Drosophila melanogaster: one gene and its partner. The protein of the gene in region 1 purifies or fractionates together with the protein of each later gene. This does not show direct contact. Each region holds a gene or a part of one and is shown on either strand. Other genes may lie near its edges.

Region 1 (4,265 bases):
AATCAAGTCTTTCTATTTAAGGGCTTTGGAAAAGCTGATCACGCGCAGACCAAACGCATCCTGGCCACCAAATACCCGGACTACACGATCGAAATCTCCGATGAGGGATATTAGCTGCAATCAACGAGAGAAGACTCCACATAAGCACACTGACATGAATTTATACCATTGGCTTTGATCCTGTGTGCCATGATTTTATTGGAAATGGCATTTAAAATTGAGAAATGCTCTGAAAGGCAGTTAGTCTGTAGCTTTGCAACTGCTCGCACTAAACCTTTTCGGATCTAAATTAATCAGTTTGTACACAAATTTCGTTTCTTTTCCTTTGGTTAAATAAAATGAAAATGTTCAAGTCATTGCGTCTGCTTCCTCATATTGTTTCTCCGTTTCGTAAGGCTTAGGAATATTCAATATTAAGATTTACAAGCCCTAATATACTTGGTTTTAGAAAAATGTTACTCAACCGATTTGATAAGTTTGGTAGGCGTTCCCCGGGTCAAGATAACCAAGGGTCAGAATCGTTATTTGTTGGTGAATATTCATACGCATGGCTTCACGAAGTATGGAAGAGTTATTGTCCGTGGCGCCGATGTTGACAATCACTGTGAGTTTCCACTGCTGGACGCTTAACCTTGAGCAGTCTTACAAATCCTTCTTTCAGTGGCGGTCTTCGACTCGATTTTGGAGGAGCTGGAACCCGAGGGCATATGTGCCAAAATCCTCGGTGGTGGAAGGATTCTCAACGAGGCAGAAAATAAAAAAATTAAGATCTATGGCACCTCCAGGGTAAGTAGAGGATCCTTGGTCCTTGAAGCACCGGCTAATGGTTCTTGATGGGTCTCCCTAGACTTTCGGCGGTGCTGATCACACAAGGACAAGGAATATACTTCAAGCGTGGACCACTTATAAGGACTTTAAGATAACCGTTAAACAATAAAGTTGCATAAATTTCGAAAATGGAAATTCAGTACTAATAAAAAGAAAATAGAATATAAAAGTAGCGCTCTTTCAATATTATTAAGGGGTAATCGAACAGGCGATTGTAATTGGCGGAATATGGTTGATATTTCCATTTCTGGAGAGAGTAGAAAGAAGAGTAATTTTGCATTTATAGTTTAGTTCATACAAAAATTTCTTTCACAAGATACAAGGGCTTAGTACTTTTTGAATGATCACATGTGCTCCGATTTTCGTGTCAGTCTTGAATTTAGCATACGACCGGAAGGCTTCTGACAAAATCAGTCTAGCTGGAGCCTTGCTACCGTTCATACCAGTTTCTTTTCGGAATATTTCATCTAAATTCCAGTGCGTTTTCCTAAAATTTTTCCAAAATGAAAACCTTGAATCTTTTGGCACCTGTTTCACAATTGTTGAAGCCCCTTCGAAGGCAAAGTTCTTCGCGCGTAAACGCCCTTTTGATAAATGTTCCTAGAGTTCAGCTTTCTAAAGGCAAGAACAAGTACCTTTTGATGATGATTCACATGCACGGTTTAACTAGGTTCGGCAGGACCATTGTAAGAGGATCCGCCTCCAAGGACCACGGTTAGTTCTAATAATCAGTATAGCTAATACGTGTTCTAATCGTTCTGTCGCCAGAGGAAATCTTTGAGGAAATCCAAAAGGAGATGGACAAAATTGGAATTTGCGCCAAATGCCTGGGTGGAGGGTTCATCAGCAACAAGGAGGACAAGAAAGTAATGAAAATTTACGGGTGCTGCAAGGTAAGTGGATGAAGTTGGCTACGATCAACCTGATTACTAAAGAGACTGCCTGCAGACTTTTGGGGAGGCGCCGCACGGCAGGACGAAGGACATACTGCTGTCTTGGACCAAATTCCAGCATTACAACATCATCTTGCCCAAAAAGAATCTGAACGCGTATCAGTGAAGGCGTTTGAAAGCTTGTTTTATTTTTCCTAACTGCCCTGTTGGCAATTTATAATACAACAAAAAATTAGTAAATACATGGCTACATATCGATTTGTTTTTTCGCTGGGTGTTACAAATTTTCAGCTTTTGATTTTGAGTTTCAGATCTGCTTTGTTGGTTAGCAGCCAAAGTTCAAATTTGGAAATTGAACCAGATCACATCGTCGATAACCGATAGCTGTGCAATCGGAGCCTTCTTCAGGGCACGGTCACACTGCCCCGAAAGTGTAAATAAATTTCAATCAAATATGAATTGCTGCATTTGTCAATTCTCGGTACGCGTACCGAAGGACATTCACACCGATACCGTCGGACATCCGCCGGTGCTGATCAGCGAACTGGTACTGCAGTGCACCCGGGGCACGAATTACGTCCTCACGGAGGAATCGTCGACGATCTGCAAGAAGTGCTGCGAGAAGCTCGCCAGATACCACAAGTCCATACAAATAGCGCGCAAGCTGCGAGGGGAGATCCTGGAACTGATCCACAGTCCCTACATGTCCAAGGACCACAAGCAGACCTCCTACAAAGAGGACGATCTCGACCGAGAGACCACCATAAGCAAATTCGATGGGAATATTGAGGAGGCACAGCAACAGGACGAGGAGGAGCAGGAACTGGAGAGCGTGGGCACCACCGTCACCCTGGTCGGTCCCGCCGGCATCGTGGAGGAAGTGGCCGAAGAGGAGCACACCTTCATTATCAAACAATCAGAGGAGGAGGATGAGTTCCACTCCGTAGACTTAGAGCTAGATATCGACAACGAGATTATCATTAACGAAGAGGAAGCCCACGAGGTAGAGGAGGTGGCCCACGAGATAGAGGAGGTGGCCCACGAGATAGAGGAGGAGGATCTGTTGCCACATGACAAGCAAGAGGCCCAGGAGGAAGACTTTTTTAAGGAAGATACCATGAGTGACTTTGACGAACATCTGGACGGCGCAATAGAGTACATAATATCCGATGGCGAGGACCAGGAGCAGGACAACGAAAGCTCCGGCGAATACACGGTCAACATACAATGCCCCAGCTGCCCGGAGAAGTTCAGCAGCCGGCGCGCTTACAATGTCCACACGAAACGCGAGCACTTTCCCGGCTACGTCTGTGATCAGTGCGGCAAGACGCTGCAATCGTACTCCGGGTTCATAGGGCACCTGCAGAACCACGAGCCCGTGAAGCAGTTCGCCTGCCCAGTGTGCCCGGAACGCTTTAGCCGCAAGTTCCGGCTGAAGCACCACATGGCCTGGCACTCCGGCGAAACGCCATACCAGTGCGATGTCTGCTCCAAGCGATTCGTTCACAAGGTGGCCCTGTACAAGCACAAGATGATCCACGACAGCGAGACCAAACGGCTGGAGTGCCAGGTGTGCGGCTTCAAGACCCGGACCAAGGCTCACTTGGAGCGGCACATGCGATCCCACACGGGGGACAAGCCCTTCGCCTGCCCGGTGTGCAACAAGCGCTTCTCCCAGATGTACAACATGAAGGCCCATCTGCGGGAGCACGAGAGTCCCGGAACCAACCGCCATCGCCGCTTCCACTGCTCCAAGTGCACGCATACTTTCATCAACGAGCAGAACTATGATGCCCACGTTCAGAGAGACGACTGCACGCCAGTTTAGCCCACTATATTGAATATATATAATAGATAATTATATATTGTGTAAGGCCCAACCCATCATCGACCATCATCGTGATCACCACCCAACCGAATGCAAGCGAAATCATTTGGATCATTACGTTCTATCCATGTACTTTTTTATTAAATCTATATGCATTTTGCTCACAAATAAAATATGTTTGATATAATAAATTTATCCGTTACTTGCATATTTCTGCGGTTATTTCAGTTTTCTTAAAAAAATATGTATAGTAAGTGTGTGTGTATGCATTAACTTATTTGAATAAATCAATCGATCGACCTCGTCCGTTCCGGCCAAGGGCCAATAAACCACCCACCCATTGTATTCCAGTATTGGTCGCTGCTGGACTGATCGAGCCCCAAATGAAATGTGCCTAATGGTAGATCGGTAGATGCAATTGACGCAATTACAATACATTGTATAAATACATAAAGTTAAGTGTGTATGCTGTGCTATAGATATACAAAAATAAAACAGATTATCTTTTGATTTTTTGTCGAGTTGAATAGAACTTTGTTAATATCATCATATCATCATCATAAAATGCACATTACAAAAATATTAACAAAATTTATTGCAGGCAGTCCGTAGTTAGTAAAAGGTAACAAACAAATCCCAATCGAGGTAAACCCATAAATCTTCCTAATAATGTGATTTTGTGCAGTAGTTCCTAAAGATCTCAGTCCCTGGCTGCG
Region 2 (6,870 bases), on another chromosome or scaffold:
GCCGATGGGATCCGGTACGAGGATCCTAGGGATCGCGATGAGGACAAAACACAAAGAAGGCACCTTCACGACTTCGTCGATCCACCGTTTGTGCTGGACAAATAGAGATCAGTGGGTGCATCCACTTCACTTTACTAAATATTTAAGCTAGGACACACAGAGTACCATTTTCCCACACTGTTTCACCTTTTTGTGCAAATTACTCCAATGTAAATATAGTTATATTTAAATCCATATATGTATTTTACGATCTTAGTTTATTTTCTAGTACATTTTTTAATTTGTTTTTATACAGATTTTACGAAGGAAATAATATATCCCATAACTTTAAACAGAAATTATAAAAAAACACTTGTTCCAACTTCGTTCGTTATTATTTAAATAAATAAATCAATGCATTTTTCTCTATTTGCGATGAGAAATAAAAGCCCCCCCCCCCCCCTCAAATACAATAAAAAATATTCATTATTCTTCAGATGCAATTGCTTGCTTTATTTAAACGATTGAGGTATTTGTTGTCAGATTCAATTGTTGTACTCTTCGACTAGCTCTTGTTTGTACTTTGTGGCATCGACGATAAGTGAACTTGGAGTTAGGGACGATCGATCATGGCGCTGAAAATCGGGAGGCAACAAGCAAAGAGAGTGCTCTTTTACGGGCTGGGTGGTAAAAACAAAAGAAATACAAAAATAGGGTTTTTATTTTTTTTGTAAATATAGTTATCGCTTCTATTCTGGTTCTTTTCTTGTGTACAAAGTAGTGTGTGCAAAAGTAGGGTAAGATAAATGATACATATCAAAGTATAAAGGTTAATTTAAACGATATCATAAATGCTACAGAGGATTCCTATATATGATATGATAAAACGAAGTCAACTCCGTGCATCATACCATATTTAGTAAACTAAAGATCGACGGGGAAGTGGATGAGGAGTGGATGCATAAATGCAAGTGTTTTCCCAGTGTGCACTCTTATCCTTGGGATCCACCGTTTCCCAATTTAGGCGGCCTCGTCTGCATTTAGCATTCGTATCCGTCGAAACTCCTTTCGATGGAAGAAATTAAACTTATGCTTCTGCTGAAACATCATCTTATCGGTCATCTTGCGCAGGACAGGTGTTGGTGTTATACTACTATTGTGTTCGCTGCTGCTGTTGCTGGTATTATTGAGTGGTGTTGTTGGCTGCATTATGATGTTGGTTATATGCTTGTTGTTGCTGCTACTACTGCGTGTTGTTGTTGTTGTTGAGTGGAAGCAAACCAGCTACTTCTTGCCCTTGGTGGCCTTCTCGGCGGCCTTGGTGACCTTGCCACCGGAGGCATCCTTGAAGTTGACAGCCTTAATGACACCGACAGCCACGGTCTGCCTCATGTCACGCACAGCGAAGCGACCCAGAGGGGGGAACTCCTGGAAGGCCTCCACGCACAGGGGCTTAGAGGGCACCAGGTTGACGATGGCAGCATCGCCAGACTTGATGAACTTGGGGTTCTCCTCGGTGGTCTTGCCGGAACGACGGTCGACCTTCTCCTTGATCTCAGCGAACTTGCAAGCAATGTGAGCGGTGTGGCAATCCAACACGGGGGTGTAGCCGTTGGCAATCTGACCGGGGTGGTTCAGCACGATGACCTGGGCGGTGAAGTCGGCGGCTCCCTTGGGGGGGTTAGCCTTGGAGTCACCGGCAACGTAGCCACGACGCAGCTCCTTCACGGACACGTTCTTGACGTTGAAGCCAACGTTGTCTCCGGGAACGGCCTCCTGCAGGGCCTCGTGGTGCATCTCCACGGACTTGACCTCAGTGGTGATGTTAGCAGGGGCGAAGACCACAACGGTACCGGGCTTCAGCACACCAGTCTCCACACGACCCACGGGTACTGTTCCAATACCGCCAATTTTGTACACATCCTGCAGGGGCAGACGCAGGGCCTTGTCGGTGGGACGGGCTGGGGGAAGGATGGCATCGAGGGCATCGATCAGGGTCTTGCCGTCAGCGTTACCCTCCTTGCGCTCCACCTTCCATCCCTTGAACCAGGGCATGTTGGTAGAGGGTTCCAACATGTTGTCGCCGTGCCATCCGGAAATGGGCACGAAGGCAACGGCGGCTGGGTTGTAGCCGATCTTCTTGATGTAAGAGGACACTTCCTTCTTGATTTCCTCATAACGGGCCTCGCTGTATGGTGGCTCGGAGGAGTCCATCTTGTTCACACCAACGATCAGCTGCTTCACACCCAGGGTGAAGGCGAGCAGGGCGTGCTCGCGGGTCTGGCCGTTCTTCGAGATACCTGCCTCGAATTCTCCGGTTCCGGCGGCGACAATCAGCACGGCGCAATCGGCCTGCGAGGTACCAGTGATCATGTTCTTGATGAAATCCCTGTGTCCGGGGGCATCAATGATGGTCACGTAGTACTTGGCAGTTTCGAACTTCCACAGGGCGATATCGATGGTGATACCACGCTCGCGCTCAGCCTTCAACTTATCCAAAACCCAGGCGTACTTGAAGGATCCCTTTCCCATCTCCTGGGCCTCCTTCTCGAACTTCTCGATGGTACGCTTGTCGATACCACCGCACTTGTAGATCAAGTGTCCGGTGGTGGTCGACTTACCGGAATCGACGTGTCCGATCACGACAATGTTAATGTGAATCTTTTCCTTGCCCATGTTGGATGATTACACTATGGCTGTTGTGTGTATTCGAGTGTTGGATTGACGGAACGTTGGAACATTGGAAGGTTGCAGGGTTCGGCGGGTTGGCGAGCAAGAGAGGTTGGAATAAACAAAGGGTAAAACAATTCGTTAGCATTCGGTGGGATTACAACTACAATTATTAGTGGGTATAACACTTTCTCATTTCCCTAGCGTACGTTCGACTTTTGTTTGCATGCGCGAGCACAACCTAACCTCAAACTCTTGCAGCCGTACAAAACGTGTTTTTTGAGGTTAGGTCCAGTGCCCGCATGTAAGGGTGTGGGTAAAACGAGTGGGGCGCAACTACAGAAAAGAGCGTGCAAATAAAATTCCATATGGAAACTCGATTTTGTTTCAGTGATTTTGGTATTTTTGCTTTCGTCAACTGTCTTCAGTAGCAGAACTGAAAAATCATCATCATGTTAAATCGAAGAGTCCAAAGGAAAATTCCAGCAAATTTAATTCGCAAATACACATGTGCTTATCTGCCTATGCGTGTGTATATCTATGCCTGTGTATTTGTGTGACGCTGTTGCCGGCCGGAGGAAAAGTAAGAGAGGAATAGAGAGAGAGAGAGACCAAAATGGCGGATGTGCATTAGTGTGCGTGTGTGACTTGTACAAATGCAAGCGATCTCGCCGCGGTGGCACAATTGGTAATTGGAAAGAAATGAAAAAGAGAGGGGCACACAACGAATTATTCAAGAACGTAGTGCAGCGGCAGCCATTTTACCAAAACCAATTATGGAGTCGGTTGGAAATGGCGAAATAGCTGATGCGAGTGCCATTTCACCAGATATGCTAATGGGCTGGAAACCCAAAAAAGCACATTTTTTCGCTTGTTGCCAGGCGAATTTTTTTCGCCCACTTGACTCACGCCACTGGGTCGCCATTTTAGAATTCCATGCCGCAAAAAGAAAGAATAAGGAATATCTATAGGTCATGACAAAGGCAAGAGAGAAAGCACGTTTTTTTTTCTCGGTTAATGAGCACATCTGGTGGATGACCTCTGTGTCCGGCGTGGGCGTGGCAAAGTAATTACACACTAAGTGCACCATATTGCAGGGCGAAAATGCGGCCGGAAAAGCCGGAAAATTATTTTGAGAATGCTGGGAACTTTAACTGGGAACGCCAGTTAAAATTTTTGCCTTTGCAGACTTGCCACGTGTTTGCTTCTATGGCCACCTTTCACTTTGGAAAACCGCAGTTAGAGGTTATCTCCGGGTTTATTACACACACACAGGAAAAACACTGGAAATATGCACAAATTCGGCGTCTCAGCTGCATATTTGTTTATAAATTGTTTTCTGGCTGCAGTCCCGTTGCAGAAATTACTTAATTATAGCCTCGCAGGTAAAACTTACTCTCGAATAAGCTGAATGAGAAATCACGAAGTCTAAGCGGCGACGGATTCGAACAAAGTGAACGAGCGTTCGGCAGAGCTCAGCACAGGAAGCCTCGTTTGACACATGGTGTGACCGAAGCTACGCAACTGTCAAAAGAGCAGAAACCGTGTTCTCACTGCGGTGTTTCCACTACGCGCGAATGAAGCACTTCATTTTATTGAAATTTAAGTGATTGAAAGTGGCAAAATACAATAACCTAACGATTGAGGGATTTAAAAAACCTTGTTTGCTCGACATTGTTTTTATATGAAAAACTAAATAATCAGTGATTCCAAAAATATTTTCTACAAAACGATGTCTATAATTTCTATACGTAATATTGGAACACATATCTCTTAATATTTAAAAACTATAACAATTGCATTAGTAGTCCGCATTTTGAACTTTTAGACTAGAACCTGAACTTTAATTTGTATGTGAACCCTAACGTAATAGAACTTTAAATAACAATAGAAGCTTGAGATCGTTTAAATTTATGTAATACGTTTCATTTATTTATACATTTTTTGGCGTCCGTTGCTACAACTAAAATATGCTACAAATAAAACTATAAGTAATTTGGTATTGTATCAATTTATACAATATTGTAAAAATTTATAACTTAAGATCTCACGTTTTAATACTTTTTCTTCTGGAATTCATCAGAATGCTAATATTTATTTGAATTTGTAACTTACTGCTTAATATTTTTTGTTAGACTATTTTTTCACTCAGTTTTCACTTGTACTCAATAAATTTATTCATTGTGCATAGAACAAAAGTTGTTAGCCTGCCCCTTATATAGGACGCAATTAAAAGTTCCTAAGTGTTTTCCTAATTTTGTGAAATTAATTAATTAGTTATTAATAATATGATTATTGTTATGCTTGCGAAATCAGTTAACAATAAATGCAATTACCATCTTTTATGAAATGATAATTTGACAAAATTTTATTATAAATCGGTATCAATTAAATTAATTTAAATCTAGATCTCAACTTTTCTGTGTGACTGGAAAGAATTATAGCTAAAGCATTTAAAACCCACACATATAGACATTAGTCATTAATAAATGATGAGCCATCTTTATTTATTGTTTACATATGCAGGAAAGCTCACAACTGAGAGCTTTTTCCAACTTTAGACATTTTCGGCCTAGCCCCACCTGGCCACACTACGACGAAACAGAATAAGAAGCGACGTGGCGAAAGAGGCAAAAAGCGAATTCAATCGTTGAAAAATACCGAACCGGTCCGGTACTCAGTTTTTGTTGTAGAAGTAGGCGTTCGACGGCCTAGTTGAACTTGAATTATTCACCGATATCGCTTCAAGTGAACCCAAATAATGATGTGGCGCCTTGCTGGAGTGCTCCTACTAGGCTTCATCGCCATCTCGTCCGGAGCGGAGCAGGATGTCCTGGAACTGGGGGACGACGACTTTGCCACCACCCTAAAACAACACGAGACGACGCTGGTCATGTTCTACGCCCCCTGGTGAGTTAGTGAGTGGGCGTGGCCGGGCGCCATCCTACAACAAATGCATTGCGTGTGCGATTCGCGTATAATCCGCTTGTTGCGTCCGCAACTTAATTCGATTCCCAATGCCCAGTGCCGACCGATGCCCGATTTTCCGGCCATCGCAAGCGCAAAGTACACGTCAGCGTTTGCCTTGCTTTTGCCGGCAAATAAAGAAGGAACGAGTGACGGAACGAAACGAGACGCAAAGAGAGGGGCAATGATGATATGCCAGTATTGGTGCCGTCGGCCATTTTAGAGCGCGGGGTGCCAAAGTGCCTAGTTGGTACAATTTCCGTGCAATTCCTGCTCCACTTGTCCACTGGCTAATGATAGTGAGCAGGCATAGGGGCCCCAGTGTACATAGCGCATCTTTTATTATAGTTTCTTATGCCTATGCATTATACCCATAATCCCAGGAATGTGTAATTCTAAGGGTTAACTTAGATTTAGCTTGAAACTGGTTATCATAGTCTGAAACACTCACAGTTCTCATACAAATGTAATTTCCCAACAGTTTACACCAACCATATTAAAACTTCAATTTTAATTGCCTGCCTACTCACAAAAGTTATGCTGATTGTGCTATAAATTTCTCATGTCAGTAGACACATTTTTAACTTCCATCGTAATCCACACTGAACACAATAACCTTTTAATACATTTTTGTTTAGTACATAACACATATTTACTGTGCCTATTTACTCTCTTTTGAGCCATTTGTTTGCCCATTATCAGGGGTAAACTATAAGCTCACACTTGGACAATGAACTAGGTAAATTATTAGCGTTTTTTTTGCCGGCCGGCTTTCGAAATCCCCAAAGAGCTGTTGAACTACTTGGCATGGAGACTTGATTCCCTCATGACGAACCTTATCAGTATTCAAGCATAAATACACAGGGATGAAGTTGAAAAAGTTGTACACTGCAATAAAACTGCTCTTTTCATTATAACATAGTTAACTTAAGGCATCACTTATCTTTATCAAAAATGAATTATTATCTGCACTGCTAAGAGTGCAGACTATACTCTGCTGTTTCAAATAAGTACCAAGTCGTTTTTCTCTCTGTATGCCTAATGGGCACTTGTACTTGTGTGATAAGACAGTTGATAATTCCAGCACCCTTACTTTAATTACAAGCTAGTTTTTTGGGAACTTGTCTTCCCGTTGCCTTGATAACAAATGATGAATTAGATAGTATTGTTACCAACATAATGTTTAAGTGACGTGTCCTAACAGAGTGTTTTTTCCTGTTTAAGGTGCGGCCACTGCAAGCGATTGAAGCCCGA

Evidence for each region.
Region 2: the proteins of ZIPIC (region 1) and eEF1alpha1 purify together in Drosophila melanogaster (affinity purification with western blotting, with the first as the bait; one study listed by BioGRID). This does not show direct contact.

The regions. Positions count from the first base shown.
Region 1 is NT_033777.3:30,034,712-30,038,976, reverse strand, and holds ZIPIC (Zinc-finger protein interacting with CP190), read left to right. Parts: upstream 1-2,106; 5' UTR 2,107-2,175; coding exon 2,176-3,549; 3' UTR 3,550-3,737; downstream 3,738-4,265. Other genes in the region: janA (janus A), read left to right, coding at 22-114; janB (janus B), read left to right, coding at 339-390, 449-604, 662-786, 848-937; ocn (ocnus), read left to right, coding at 1,332-1,542, 1,597-1,721, 1,777-1,887. UniProt on the Drosophila melanogaster protein: Insulator DNA-binding protein. Recruits Cp190 and cooperatively binds to chromatin promoter regions to exert transcriptional regulator and chromatin insulator functions.
Region 2 is NT_033778.4:11,889,360-11,896,229, reverse strand, and holds eEF1alpha1 (eukaryotic translation elongation factor 1 alpha 1), read right to left. Parts: upstream 5,096-6,870; 5' UTR 4,986-5,095; intron 4,835-4,985; exon of another isoform or gene 4,765-4,834; intron 4,109-4,764; exon of another isoform or gene 4,046-4,108; intron 3,108-4,045; exon of another isoform or gene 3,035-3,107; intron 2,689-3,034; exon of another isoform or gene 2,676-2,688; 5' UTR 2,656-2,675; coding exon 1,264-2,655; 3' UTR 710-1,263; downstream 1-709. Other genes in the region: MCPH1 (microcephalin), read left to right, coding at 1-105; ERp60 (endoplasmic reticulum p60), read left to right, coding at 5,411-5,559, 6,841-6,870. UniProt on the Drosophila melanogaster protein: This protein promotes the GTP-dependent binding of aminoacyl-tRNA to the A-site of ribosomes during protein biosynthesis.